2 linked regions of the Elephas maximus indicus genome follow. The protein of the gene in region 1 purifies or fractionates together with the protein of each later gene. This does not show direct contact. Links are inferred from orthologs where the notes say so. Each region holds a gene or a part of one and is shown on either strand. Other genes may lie near its edges.

Region 1 (7,478 bases):
ACTCATTACCCTGCCTTCCTGCCAAACTGTGCACACCCAGGCCATGTCCCTCAGTTTTTCCCTCTGCCTGGAAGGCCTTTTCCCGCCCTGCTTTCTGCACTTTTGAGTCCTACCAGTCCAAGAAAGCCCGGTTGAGATGGCACCTCCGTCACATGGACCTCTGCAGTCCCCCAGCCTTTCCATGGACCCCCAGAATGTATCGTCTCTCTCATAGGTGCCCTTCCCCCAGCCAGGAGTGTGGTTATTCAGGTTTGGGACACATTTCCCCGATTGGCTGGACACCTCCTTGCCTTATTCTTCTTTGTTGCCCCCACGGCTCATCACACCCCAAAACAAAAAATCAAACCAAACCCAGTGCCGTCGAGTCGATTCCGACTCATAGCAACCCTATAGGACAGAGTAGAACTGCCCCGTAGAGTTTCCAAGGAGCACCTAGCGGATTTGAACTGTCAACCCTTGGGTTAGCAGCTGTAGCACTTAACCACTAGCCACCAGGGCTTCCAAAAGCCAAACTCGTTGATGTCGAGTCAGTTCCAACCCCCCCAGGCCATCAAAAAAGCCTGCTGGCTGACTGGGGCCAAAGGAAATACAGCAAGAAACAAAGGAGTCTATAAGAGGTTTGGGAGGACAAAGCTTTGGTGTCTACAGAGGGAAGTGGGCTCTGCCCAGGTGTGGGGTGAAGGGTAGGGGGTCCTACCTTCTTGTAGGATACGAGTAATTGTAATAACCCAGTTGCCATCCAGTCAGTTCTGACTTAGGGAGACCCCATGTGTGTCAGAGTAGAAATTGTGCTCCATAGGGTTTTCAATGGCTGATCTATTGAAAGTAGAGCTCCTGGGTGGTGCAGATAGTTAGCATGCTCGGCTGCTAATGGAAAGGTTGTGGAGGTTTAAGTCTACCCAGAGGTAGTATGATTTTTGGCTGGGCCATGATTCTCAGTGTTTATATGTGATCACTCCCATGATGGAATCTGCTGTGAGTAGCCAATCAGTTGGAAGGGAGTTTCCTTGAGGGTGTGGCCTGCATCCAAATATAAGCAGATGTTCTGGCTTTTTGCTCACTGTGGACCCTGTGGCTGCCTCCTTTCATCTGACCTTCCTTCGGCTCTTGGGACTTGAGCTATCAGCTTATCTGCAGGTCTTGGAATTCATCAATCTTCACAGCCTGAGAGCAGGAGCCCTGCTCTCTGGCCTGCCAATCTTGGGTTCGCCAGCCCCTGCAGCTACATGACTCGAGAGAAGCCACTGTCCTGATCCACGGACTTGGGATGTTCCAGCCTCTACAATCACAATCTCTATATATATTTATACGCTTTAATAGTTTTGCTTCTCTAGAGAACCCGCCTAAGACAGGTGGCTCAGAAGAACGGCCTGACTATCTACACCTACTCCTTACTTATCAACTATCTCATTATCCAACATTTCACATTTAGATAATAGTTTTGCCCATTAACGATGTACGTCTGGCAGTAATGTTTTCATGACCAGTGGGACAGAGAGCACCCACCTATATTTTCTGCCTCTCAGGTCCAGAGGGACACATGCATCCCACATACTGTATGGTGATCTGATGTGGTCATCTTCCATTTTCACATAATGGGCTTGTTTTTGGAACTTAACCATGCCAATAAGCGAGGAATGGGTGTACTTCCAAACAATCAGCCATTAAAAACCCTATGGAGTACATTTCCACTCTGATGCACATGGGGTTGTCATGATTTAGAGTCTAATTGGCAGGAAGTGGAGTAACAATAGCTGCCCTGTATTAGCAAGGGGGAACACCTGCCATGGGCCAGGCCTTGTGCTAAAACAGCTATTCTAAACTGGGCAATTTTGTCCCCCAGAAGACATCTGGCAATGTCTGGAGACGACTTTCACTGTCATGACTGGGAGGATGCTACTGGCATCTAGTCAGTTGTGGCCAGAGATGCTGCTAAACCTCTACAATGCCCAGAACATCCCCCCACAACAGAGAGTTATTCAGCCCAAATGGCAATAGTGCCTAGGTTTAGAAGCCCTGTGCTAAAGGATTTACAGGTGTTACCTCATCTAATCCTCACAAAAACCCTACGAGGTAAGTATATTCATTTCCTAATTGTGCGGTCAAGGAAATCAAGCTCAGAGAGGTTAAATAACCTTCCCTGGGGTCACACAGCCGCAAGGTAGTGAAGCAGGCATTGGGACCCAGGTCTGGCTCTAAAAAGGTGCGGTCTTTCTTCTGCTCAACAGTTCATGGAGGTGAAAGAGGCTCTCTAGAACATGTTGCTTTTATAATATATAAGTGCCAAAATGATAACATAATAGCATTAGAATTACTGTTTCCCTGGAGAAAGCAGGGCTTTGTTGCCTCTGGAATAAAGTGTTTAGATTGGGGACCCCTGCTCTCCTGGGGCAGGAAAGGAGTTAGCAGGCCCCAAAACCAGGGCAGGAACACCCAAAACACAAGCCACAAAAGAAAAAAATAGATAAATTGGACATCAAACTTATAAAAACTTTTGTGCTTCAAAGGACACCATCAAGAAATAGAACACATGGGCCACTCCTGCCCAAAAGCAAAGAAGAGAAGGCAGGAACAGGAAAACTGGACTGACAGACAGGGAGAGCCCAGGGTGGAAAGGGAAAGGGGGAGAGTGCTGACACATTCCGGGATTGCAACCAATGTTGCCAAATAATTTGCGTATAAATTTTGAATGAAAAACTAATTTGCATTGTAAACTTTCACCTAAAACAATAAAATTAAAAAACAAAGAAATTGAAAACACAATTTTTTTTTAAATTCTGAAGATCATATATCTGGAAGGGGACTTGAATCTAGAGTATATAAAGAGCTCTTACAACTCAAGAATAAAAAGACAAATAACACAAGTAAAAAATGGGGAAATGTTCAGAATGAACGTTTGTCCAAAGAAGATATACGAATGGTCAGTAAGCACGCGAAAAGATACTTGACATTGTTAGTCTTCGGGGAGATGCGAATCAAAACCACAATGAGAAACCTCTTTATCCTACTAGATGGCTATTATCGGAAAACGGAAAACAACAAGTTTTGGTGAGAATGTAGGCTACTGGAATTGTAAAATGGTGCAGCCACTTTGGAAAACAATCTGCCGGTTCCTCACACAGTAAACAGAGTTACCATAAATTCCACTCCTAGGTATATACCCAAGACAGTCGAAAACGTATGTCCACACAAAAACTCATACACGAACGTTCATACTTTCGTCACAGCTGAAGAACCAATATTGATTCATTCTTTATCCTATTCATACTTTACTCATATTTCCTTAGGTTTTCCCTAATGTCCTTTTTCTGTTACAGGATCCCACTCAGGACACCCCCTTATATTTAGTTGTCCTGTCTTCTTAGGCTCCTCTTGGCTGTGACAGTTTCTCAAACTTTCCTTGTGTTTGATGACTTGAAAATTTTGAGGAGTGCTGGTCAGGTATTCTGTAGGCTGTCCCTGAACTGAGATTTGTCTGAGTTTTTCTCTTGATTAGACTGGGGTTATGGATTTTTGGAAGGAAGCCCACAGAGGCAGAGTGCCATTCTCATCACACCATATCAAGGTGCCTACCATCTGCATGACATCACTGTTGATGTCAACCTTGATCACCTGGCTGAGGTCACGTTTGTCAGGTTTCTCCACATAAAGTTACTCCCCCCCCCCCCAGTTTACATTTTGTGCTATTGGGAAGGAAGTCACTACGCAGCCCACACTTAAGGACCGGGGAGTTGGGCTTCACCTCAGAGCAGCTACAAAAAGTATTTGGAATTCTTCTGAATGAGAAAATTTTTCTCTTCTTCCCTATTTATTTATTCCATAATTTATTTCCACCAGTATGGACTCACGGATATTTATTTTATACCTCAGGTTATAATCTAATGCTACCTTATTTGTTAGCATTCTGGTTTTTTAGTCAACATTATTGAGACATGATTTACACACAATGCACCCCGTAAAGCGCACAGATAAGGCCTTTTAACAAATGCCTGCGCTTGGAGAATCCCAGCCTCAGACTCCCGCAGGTGCCCGTGAGAAAAAAATAGATAAATTCCACTGACCAGGACTGAACTCCTCACTGAGGGCGACTTGGAGAATGATGTCAGCTTCCGTTCTAGGTCTAGAAAAGTCCTGAGTTCCCCACCAGGGCTAAATAAAAAAAAATAGAATCGCTAAACGGCAAAAACACACGCCCATCAGCAGTTTCTTTTCTCGGCAGCCAGCAGCTCCGGAACTGTACTGAGCCGTCGGCGGGGAGAGGTCTGGAGCCCGAAGGCCCGCCCAGCGCCTCCCGAGGCCCGGACCCGGCCAAGGATGGAAGCGTAGGGAGGGAATGCAAGTGTGAACTTCCAATTCCTTCTAGGGTGTGCCACTCGCATTCTCTGCCATCCCCTCCCGCAAACCTCTTTCAGCAGCCCCTCCCAGCCGGCGGGGGTTCCTGCAGAGGGGTTGGCCGCGCAGTCTGGGCTGGGCTGAGTGTCCGCGATGGGCGGTGCTGAGGGGCGGGCCGAGCCAGGCGGCGGGGCTGGACCCTTGGCCTCCATCCCGGGAGGGCGGTGCCGGGCGCGAACAGGTCGGTCCCTCCCAGGCGGGAGCAGAACAGGCGGTGCCCCCGGCAGCCTTGGAGCTATGGACAGCCCCGGGCCCTTCAGCTGCCCCATCTGCCTGGAGCCGCTCCGGGAGCCGGTGACCCTGCCCTGTGGCCACAACTTCTGCCTGGCCTGCCTCGGTGCTCTCTGGCCGCACCGCGGCGCGGGCGGCGCCGGCGGTCCGGGGAGCACTGCGCGCTGCCCTCTGTGCCAGGAGCCCTTCCCCGACGGCCTGCAGCTCCGCAAGAACCACACGCTGGCCGAGCTGCTGCAGCTCCGCCTGGGCTCGGGCCCGGGCAAGGGCCCCGCTCCGGGCCTGGCTCCTGAGCCATCAGCGCCCAGCGCGCCGCCCAACGCCCCGGAGCCGTCTGCTCCCTGCGCCCCTGAGTCGTGGCCGGCAACCGAAGAGCTGGTGCGCTGCGATGCGTGCCCTGAGGGCGCCGCCCTGCCAGCCGCGTTCTCCTGCCTCTCCTGTCTCGCCTCTTTCTGCCCGGCACACCTGGGCCCTCACGAGCGCAGCCCCGCGCTGCGCGGACACCGCCTGGTGCCGCCGCTGCGCCGGCTGGAGGAAAGCCTGTGCCCGCGCCATCTGCGGCCGCTCGAGCGCTACTGCCGCGCGGAACGCGTGTGCCTGTGCGAGGCTTGCGCCGTCCAGGAGCACCGCGGCCACGAGCTGGTGCCGCTGGAGCAGGAGCGCGCGCTCCAGGAGGTGGGAGCCGGCAGTCCCCGCGGCCGGGCGGGGAATCCAGGGGGGGCCGGGAGGGCCTTACTTTCCTCCTCTAAATAGTGAGGATCGTTGCGTTCCCTTCCAACTTTGACAATGTCATCAGCTCACGGCCGTGGAGATGGAAATGGGGGAGATAGGAAGCCAGTGTGAACTCTAAAGGGAAGGGAAGGGCGGGCAGGGTATCGGAGCGGGGTCAACGGGGTCTAAGCCGGTAAAGGAGCCGGGTTAGGCCCGTAGGGTTCCCGGCGCATGGTTCCGCGCGGATGCACAGGGCTAACGGTCCCATCTCAGATTTGTCCTGGGCTGAGGCAGCGGGTGTGGATGGGTGTGGCAGGCGACAGGCTCTGCCGGCATCAGGGCACGCAGATCCGCTCTGTCCAGCTGTTCTGGGAGCCGGTGGTGGGGAGCATGTGCTCAGCCTGTCCCGCTACCTCCGCCCCCAGTTTCCTTTGGATTCCAGCCCGGACTTGGCGCCTCTGGCCTTGGGATTTTCCGTCTCTCCTTTTTTTTTTTTTTTTTTTTTCCTGCCTGGAGCTGTGACTCATAAGACCCAAGGGATTTGCCTGGAATCCCCTGTTTTCAGGTCTAGATGGTGAACCCAGACCCTTAGGGGACATTGATCCCCAGGATAGCTGGGTGTCTTCTGATACATTCCCTCTGGAACTCGCTCACCCCTGCCTCCTCCTCACTGAAGGAAGTTCTCAAATGAACTCTAGCCTCTCATCCATAGGAGACCACCAATGGCCCCTGAACTTGACCCCACTGGTCAGAGAGGGAGGCAGACAGCCCACTACCGGCCTGTGCCCCCCATTGGCATTTGGGAATGGCACCAGCCTGGACTGGAGGCACATCTGCTCCATCTGCCTGGAGCTGCTGCAGGCTTTATCAGACATCATGGTCACTCCCAGTCCAACCAGTGTGCAAAGTCACTCCTGGTCACCCCTCTCCTCTCCCCTGGCAGGGCCCCTGGTGCTGGGCTGTGGCATCTGCCAGACCGTGTCCTTACGGGGTGTCATCCACAGGCCGAGCAGCCCAAAGTCCTGAGCGCCGTGGAGGACCGCATGGATGAGCTGGGTGCTGGCATTGCCCAGTCTCGGCGCACCGTGGCCCTCATCAAGGTCAGAGCCCCCTCCCACTCCTGCAGCAGGGTCTTGACGGGAAGAGCACTCAGGGTAGAATGATCCAGTCCAATGATCCACTGGGCAGGAGAACCTCCCTGACCTGGTACAGACCCAGTCAGGCTCGGGCTGCTCCCTGTGACCTCCAAGACAAATGGGCGAGGGGGTGGTGTTGGGGAAAGATGGATCCAAAGCCGTCAACCCTGCTCCCATGTCGTCCTGTGCAGAGTGCAGCCGTGGCGGAGCGGGAGAGGGTGAACCGACTGTTTGCGGAGGCTGAGGTAACCCTGCAGAGGTTCCAGGCCGAGGTGCTGGGCTTCATTGAGGAGGGGGAGACTACCATGCTGGGCCGCTCCCAGGGCGACCTGCGGCGGCAAGAGGAACAGCGCAGCCGCCTGAGCCGAGCCCGCCACAACCTCAGCCAGGTCCCTGAGGCCGACTCGGTTGGCTTCCTGCAGGTGAGGGGCAGCTCTGCGGGCCAGAGAGGGAATAGGCTGGTGAAGGCAGGCAGGGTGGAGGGACAAAGGGCTGTGGGCCTCCTGGTGAAGCTGCCCCCTGGGCAGGTACAGCTTGGCCAGCAGAGCCTCAGCTAGCATTTGTCTGGTGCAGGAGCTCCTGGCACTACGGTTGGCCCTGGAGGAGGGGTGCGGCCCTGGGTCTGGCCCCCCAAGGGAGCTCAGCTTCACCAAGTCATCTCAGGCGGTCCACACAGTGAAAGAGCTGCTGGCTGCTGCCTGTGCCAGCCAGTGGGAGGAGCTGCAGGGGCTGGGCAGTGACGAGGACGGCCTGCAGAAGATGGGGCCAGAAGGTGGGTGTTGCCCCTCACTGAGGTGACTCACCCTCCCCCAGGCTCCCTGCACAGGCCCCTCAGCCTGGTGCCCATTCAGTAGGGGAGAATGGAAACTGTGTGCCTGGCATGGGGTGGGGCCAAACCCGGACAGTGCCTGCAACCATCACCCATGATGACAAGGCAGCCACTTTGCCACAGCCTAGGGGGCAGGGGGGCTTCTCCTAGCCCACCCCCTAGCTCAGAGGGGTTTGAGG
Region 2 (7,539 bases), on another chromosome or scaffold:
CTATACATTCTGAGCCATTACAATAAAGCCTAGGTTTAATCGGAACAAATTCAAAGACTACAGGTTTTTAGTTAAGTGCTGAGCAATATTTACCATGTGACATAATGATGTTGCTATAGATTTGTTATATACTCTATCCTACAGAGTCGCTATTGAGTTGGAATCTACTTGAGAGCAATGGGTTTGGATTTGGTTTATAGGTTTTTTTGGAAAAAAAAAATCAGGCACTAGGAACAAATTTTCAAATGAAGGTTTAGTAAGTCAAGATAAGCAAGACCGAGCATGAACTGTCAGCAAAACTCTTACAATGTCCTTCATATCAAACTACCCAGGGCAGAGCACTTGTTCAAACCTGTTGTCTTAGCTATCTTTTGTCCCTCGGAATCTCTGTCCTTTCTCCCAGGAGTTTCTTCCCAATCTCAACAGAGAAATCAATAAAGTTTATTTACTAGAGTATCTTTCCTAACAAACACTGAACAACTTAAAGTTCTCTTAAATAAAACACAACCCAGAAAGAAAATCAGCTTTAGAATGTTGAAGCATCTAAGTGCCTAGTACGTACCAGGCATTTGGTCATAGTACATTGAATGTCGGACACACAATGTTGACGCCAAAAAAAAAAGAAACCAAACTGGTTGCCCATCAAGTCGATTTCAACTCAGCACCCCTACAAGACACAGGAGAATTGCCCCATAGGATTTCCAAGGAGTGGCTGGTGGATTCAAACTGCCAATCTTTTGGTTAGCAGCCAAGCTCCTAACCACTGTGCCACCAGGGCTCCATAATGTTGATGAGAGAATAAAAAATTTAACATTTGATAAATAAAATAATCTGCCCCTTTCACTTTAGGGTTTTTGGAAACCGAGAATCAAAAGGTTAAAGGACTTGTCCATGGACACAGATTATTTTGGAGCACAGCCATGACTAAACAATTCTTGCCTCCTAGTAGTGTCCCCTTCAAAAGATCATACTGACTAAAAAAAAAAAAGATCATACTGTAAGTATAGTCACCACTTCTACCCTTCATACTAAATATAAAAAGATACAACCCATGTAAAAAGCAATGTTGATGACTCTGGCACTCAACCATAGTATTTCTCAAATATAACACAGATTGAAGTAGCTAACTTCAAACTATTAGTCTTAATATACAGCTCCACATAATTACTTCACACAAAATTACTTCACTGATGAGGAAAATGTTTATCAAATAAAAAATGTCTTAAGCAACTTCCATGTGCAGTTCATTATAATTTTAATAATGTGGTATTTGCTGTAAACTTGCAGGTTAAAACTAATCATTCCAACATGACTGAATGTTTAACCAGATATACGCGAGTTACACATAAGAACAGAACTATAATTTCATGAAACAAATGTTACTGTGTGCTTCAAATTACTTATTGGCAAAAGAAACATTAAGTAATTAACATCCAGGGTTAGAAAACTGGGGGGGAGGGGAGGAGGAATGAAAGTTTCAGAGAGTGGTCACTATCTTCTTACTCTTATTTTCTCTTCTGTAAAGTTACAGAAATACAATCTTTGGAAGAGGCCCAATATTAAAAAGATAAAAATATAAAAGTGAAGTTGTTCCAGTTAAAAAGGGAGTTAGGGACCAAGCTCTGCCAGCTGGACTCCTGAGAGCTCTGAAGCCCCTAAGGCTCAGCAGAGTACTGTTTAAATAAATAAATTCTCTGTCTCTTCAGCGCTCTCTGTACTTGAAACATGGTTGTGTTTAAAACCAGAACGTGCAAGTCTGAAAAGTTTTTAGATTTTTTTCGTAAGAACAATTAAAAAAATTTCTAATCTCTTTCAATAATCTCAAAATCATTTATTCTGGGAAAGAAATACACATCTCCCATGGATTTTTACACTTCCCATACTCTTTCAATAACTTCTTAAAACACAGTCTGCTCATTATTCCAATTAGCAGAAAACTTGGGACCGGGGGCGGCGCATATGTTTCCTGGCTTGGACAACTGAAGCACGACCTTTGCGGATTTGTAAGTACCATGTGGTGCTGGAGAAGAGAGAACGAAAATACCTCAGGTGATGAAATTTCCAAAAGATATCTAAAACTGCAGTTGGTAGAAGGCTCTCCACAGCCAGCTGTCTTTCAAGAAAAGGCTCCAAGTTTATTTAAAATCTACAAAGCAGAAGAGAACCATACCTTAACCAAGCTCTAACACTAAGAACTTTTACCCAAACAATTTCCACGATTAAAAAGACGAGGAGGAAAAATCAGTATAATTTACTTCAATGATTCGGTTCGATGTCTTAACATGAATGAATTGGAGGCGTCACCGACTCGAGTTCTGAAGCAGCCTCACTCTCAGCCCTGCTCCCTATAAAGCCTGAAGCAAATCCCCCAGAATCTGGTGTTTCGAGGGCTAGTCCGGTCCAAAGGACGCCTCTCCCTTTCTTCCTCCCGGCCTCCCTCCCAGGGGCTGGAGCCCAGGGCAGCGCGGCCGGGTGGGGGGGCGGCAGCCGCGAGGCCCGCTCCTCGCTCCGAAAAAGTTCCGCCGGCCGCTCTCGGGCCAGGCCGACCCGCGGCCCCCGCCCGCACGGCCGCCGCAAACACCCCGCCCGGGCCGTGGGAGGGTCGCGCTCCCTCCCAGCGCCGCCACCACAAACACCCCGCCCCCGCCCTCGCGGAGCGTTAACCCCTCGGCGCCCGCCGCCTGGCTCCGGGAAGGAGGCCGGCCAGGGGGTGGAGTTGTCGCGTCTCCTCTCGGGAGCGCCCGGGCAGACGCCCGGCTTGTTTACAGGCCCCAGGCCTGGCCGCGCCGCCGCTGCGCAGGCCCGCGCCGCTCGCCCGCCCGCCTTCAGCCCGAGCGCCGCGCTTACCCGGAGCAAGCCGCGGACTGGCAGGTCCCTGGTCGGCCGAGGCGGCGGCGGCAGCCGGGGGAGGGGCGGGGAGGGGGTCACCTCGGCGGCGGTCCGCCGGGTCAGGCAGGGGAGGGGGCGGAGGCGGGGAGGAGCCGGGCTGCGTCCGGGCCCCCGGCTCTCGGCGCCCTCGCGGCTCAGATCATCCGGGCGTTGGAGCGGGAGACGGAGAGCGGGTCCCGGAGAAAGAGGAGGAAGACCCGAGGATTCATCGCGTTCGCGCCCCACCTGCCTGGCGCCCCCCCACCCCCCACCCCGGCCACCCGTTCCGGAGCCGTAGGCGCCCGAGCTCCCAAAGCTCCGGGCCGGGCCGGCGCCGAGACCACTGCTCCCTCGCTCCCGCGCGCGCTCCCGTCCCCAGCGCCGCCGCTGTCTCTAGCGCGCCCCCGCGCAGGCGCGCTCACGACGGAGCCGCGCTGCCCCTCCCCCGCCCCGTGCCGCCCCGCCCCGCCGCCGCTACAGCTGCGGCGCGGCGGAGCAGCTGGAGAGACCCGGATGTCGTTGGGCAGGAACTGCGGCTAGCGCCGGTGGGAGGGGGAGGGGGAGGGGGAGGGGGAGGGGCGGCCCTGAATGACGTCACTACCATGCTTCGCCTGCCGCTGCTGCCACCTCCCCACCGAGGCTCCAGGCCGAGGCCGAGGGGAGCGTCCGGATTCCGGATAGGAACTGGGACCGGAGCTTGAATGGAATGTGCTACTCTTCGGGCCCGGTGGATTCGAGAGCCTTTCAAAGCCCGGCTTTCGGCCCTAGGGGATCTCGGAAGAGCCCCCCAGGGCGGCCGCACCTCCTCTCCTGGAGTTTCCACCTGTCTGCAGATGCACGCCCCACTCCCTGCCCCTCGACAGTCCCTGCTGAGACGCCGCCCACGGAGTCCCAAGGACTGACCTCGAGCTTTCCACCCTTCTCTGATTTAGTCGCGGCCTGGCCACTGCTCTTAGGACGCTCGTTTGGTCTCGTGCCCCAACCAGACCCCCTTCCCCGGTGCCCCGGTTTTCACAGAGCCATCCTACCCCAGGTGACCCAGGGAGGCCCACGGTGGTGCCACGGCCAAACACCTCGCTCTCCAAAGAGCAAGAACACACACACCCTACCACCACCCACCCACACTCGGGTGCAACTTATTCACGCACGGGGCACGTGTTCTGAGTTTCTGGCAGGTTTTCAGTTTGTAACTCATGGGATTCCACATTCGCACATGCTAGACATAACGTTATTCTGTAACAGGGGACCTACAACGACCTCCTTTGGGGTTAAGAAACGGAGGGTTCAAAATCCGGAGAATCAGAAGCGTAACAGCTGTTTCTATTAAGAATTAGAGATGAGCTAAACTTAGTTGAAACTGCACGTGCAGATGGCTAAAATCCAGTTCAGCTAGCTAGACTTCAGAAAATGTGACCCACGCTACTTGCAGACGCTGGGGGTAGAATGACAAACCTTAGGTGGCCAATGAATCAGAACTAAGAGCAATACATCACCAGCACGTTCCCATTGGCTGTGGCGCCTTTCTCTTGTTGGAGGATTAACCGGTTAGTGGGTTTCATCTACACCACTTTTGCAGTCACAGAAGTTTAAAAGAAAAATCCGTGGAGCTTTAAAAGATGCTTTGGTGTATGCAAAGAAAAATCAAATACTTCGTTGTAGGAGGGAGGTACTCTAAAAAGAACACCTGAAAATATTAGTCAAATTGAGCCCTGGCCAATAGGAAAGTAAGTTTGTGGTGAGGCCTTTCCATTTTATCTCCGGAGCTTACTGTAGCATTTTGCACCCTGGTACTCTTTATCTCCTAAAACCACTTTGTTGCCTCAACTCTTAGATCAAAAGAGAGTTATTTATTATGTCATTCTGTCATTCAGCTAGCATTATTTAGCTGCTTTTAAAGTTGTAAGAGCCCTGTCTAATTTTTTCAATTTGTCTTTTGTGGGAAGGTTCTGTGCCTTCCACTTTTAGACCTGGGACCTAACTACAGCAACAACAGTATCAAACAGTATTGCCAAATGGTCACTGACTGGTCAAATCTCCAAGGAACCCCAAAATCACTCTACCCAATATTTTTGGGTTTGAGATTTCTTAGAGTAAGATGAAGATGGATCATTTCCAGATATGCAAAGTAAAAAAATTCACTTATGCATTTGATCCCATCTGAGGACACATTTCCTAATTACTTCTCCACACACCTGCCAACAAAAGAAATTGGAACGAAGATCTTCGAAATTCTGCCCTACTGAAATCCTTAATACGTCAGACAAGTAATAGCACAATTAGCATGATGGTGGAGTCGTTATCACTCTGAAATAGAAAAGCCCATGTGGCAACCATGATTTGGCATGCTCTTAAAAAAAAAAACTAATTTTCTTATTCATGAGGTAGAAGCTGGTTCATCAACGGCAGTAGTGGGCCACAGAGAACTTGAAGGTCTTGCCCATCTTTCTGTGCCCTTCCTTTAGGTTTCCACCCCTTTCTTTTCTCTGCTCTACACTTATAGAAGGATCTGGCCAAATTGTAGCAGAAGTGGGAGAAAAATAGAAAATACGAGCACAGAGAGATTTATAAGTAATCTTCACAGTGTACCACAGACTACCAATAAACCTGCACCTTCCTGTTATTTATTTCTGGATACATTTTGGTATGAACTAAAAAACTCATGAATTATAAGATTAACGTTGTAAAATTCAGAACAAAAGTGTCAATAGTTTCTGATTAAATATGCTTGCTATTATAATATCCCTGTCATTAAATCTCATACTAAGGAAAAATTTTAAATATTTAGAAGGAAAAAAATTGAAAAAGAGTTAAAGGGTTTTGTTTGTTTTTCTCTTTTCAGCCTTGTCTGGGTGTTGTACACATATTTGGGCTCTTCATAGTAAGTTTTTGTGGAACATCAAAAACCAAACCAAAACCATTGCTGTTGAGTTGATTCCGACTCATAGCAACCCTATAGGGCAGAGTAGAACTACCCCCATAGGGTGTTTCCAAGGCTGTAAATCTTTATGGAAGCAGACTGCCACATCTTTCTCCCATGGTGGGTTTGAACTGTTAACCTTTTATTTGGTCTGCAGTGGAATGCTTAACCACTGTGCCACCAGGGCTCCTTTGTGGAACATCAGTAGGGTATATATTGCCATAACTGTATTTTAGTAATTTTTATAGATATAAAACTATGCTACTCTGCTTTAGAAATCTGTTTGAATTTCATTTAACAGAAAATATTTCTGAAAGTTGGCTTTAATGTCCTGAATTTAACTTGGTGCTATTAACCTAGTAATTGAGACGTTTGGGGTAAGGACAGGGTTTGTGGTGGAGAGTATAAAAACTTAAACTGGTCAGCAATACTCTCTTCCCCTTTTCTCACAACCATGACTTAAAGAAGAGGTTTACACTCTTTGTTGCCAAATTACTATAGTGAAAGCACCCAGGAGAATCATCCTGAGACAGCCTTGCCTGGGCCTCTCAAAACAATCTCAGCAATTTAAGTGACCTCTGGCGGGGGGGGGGGGGGGGGGGGGCGGAGACCTAGAATCCCCTTCACCTGAGCCATCCATCCATTCACACCAAAGCCAGTTAACTACCCAAGAGTTACAAAGCCAAGCAGAACAGCTTCGAGTCTTCCTACCTCCTGCTCTTTCACTACGTGTTTCACGCCTTTTTCTCACACACATCTTCTTCAGTTGTCTTTCTCTTCTCTCTTTTCTCTTCCTTATCGCTCTTCTCATTTTCTTCTGTTCACTCTCCATCTTCTTCACCTTTCTTTTCCCCATTCTTCTATTCTCTCTTTTTTAGCTTAGTCCAAATTACGGCATCTGCTCCCCACTCGCTCCTGGAGTAGTACATGTGAACTGATAATGCCCCCAAACTAATTTTGTTTGGGGGGTGTGAGCCCCCCCATCCTAGTGCTCCTTCCTCCCTCCCCCCCAACCATATCGTATCATGAAAAACTTAGCTGTTTAGAAGATTGTCATAGAATGATAAGGATTAGAGAATCTAGTCCTGTGTGACATCACTGGGGCACCCCCAGGCTGCACTGTGGCCCTTCCTAAGCCCTGAGCAACTTATTATGAAACATGGGCTACTATGAGGGCCACAGTTGAAGTCCTAGATGGTTTTTAAGTTAGGCTGTCGCATTAAGATAACCATGTATGTATGTCCACAGCCTTACAACATTGGTGTGCATCTTGTTAGACAAGTTCATCTGTTCAACAGATAGTTATTGTATACCTGGTGTTGTGCTGGATGCTGGGGGTAGATAATGACATCAGTGGGCAAGATCCCAGCCCCCAAGGAGCTGACGTTAGAGTGGAGGATACAAAGAAGTAAATAAATAAACAAGAAAATTACAGATTGTGATCAGTGCTGGGAAGGAAATAAATATGGAAATAGATGAGAAGAAGTTTTGAAGCGGATGTTCAGGGCAGATCTTTCTAAGGAGATAGCATTTGAACTGAAGGATGAGAAGGAGTCAGCTCTGCAAAGAATCAGGGGAAAGCTTTCCAGGAGAGGGATCAGCGTGGGCAAAGGGCCTGAGGTAGGAAAGAGAGTGCCAGAAAAGAATTATTCATACAACCTAGGAGAAGCACACCAAACCCAAGGTAAATTTTTTTTAATTGTCAAGAATATGTATATAACATAGCAGCTGCCAATATAACATTTTTCAGATGT

What was found.
Region 2: the proteins of TRIM47 (region 1) and PPM1A purify together in Homo sapiens (affinity purification with western blotting; 3 studies listed by BioGRID, with this or other methods). This does not show direct contact. The link is inferred for Elephas maximus indicus from reciprocal best matches to the Homo sapiens genes TRIM47 and PPM1A.

What each region holds. Positions count from the first base shown.
Region 1 is NC_064837.1:66,121,390-66,128,867, reverse strand, and holds the start of TRIM47 (E3 ubiquitin-protein ligase TRIM47), read left to right. Parts: upstream 1-4,463; 5' UTR 4,464-4,485; coding exon 4,486-5,298; intron 5,299-6,338; coding exon 6,339-6,434; intron 6,435-6,661; coding exon 6,662-6,892; intron 6,893-7,043; coding exon 7,044-7,242; intron 7,243-7,478. UniProt on the Homo sapiens protein: E3 ubiquitin-protein ligase that mediates the ubiquitination and proteasomal degradation of CYLD.
Region 2 is NC_064828.1:72,637,694-72,645,232, reverse strand, and holds the start of PPM1A (protein phosphatase 1A), read right to left. Parts: upstream 3,001-7,539; 5' UTR 2,848-3,000; intron 2,595-2,847; exon of another isoform or gene 2,256-2,594; intron 2,147-2,255; exon of another isoform or gene 2,045-2,146; intron 1-2,044. UniProt on the Homo sapiens protein: Enzyme with a broad specificity. Negatively regulates TGF-beta signaling through dephosphorylating SMAD2 and SMAD3, resulting in their dissociation from SMAD4, nuclear export of the SMADs and termination of the TGF-beta-mediated signaling.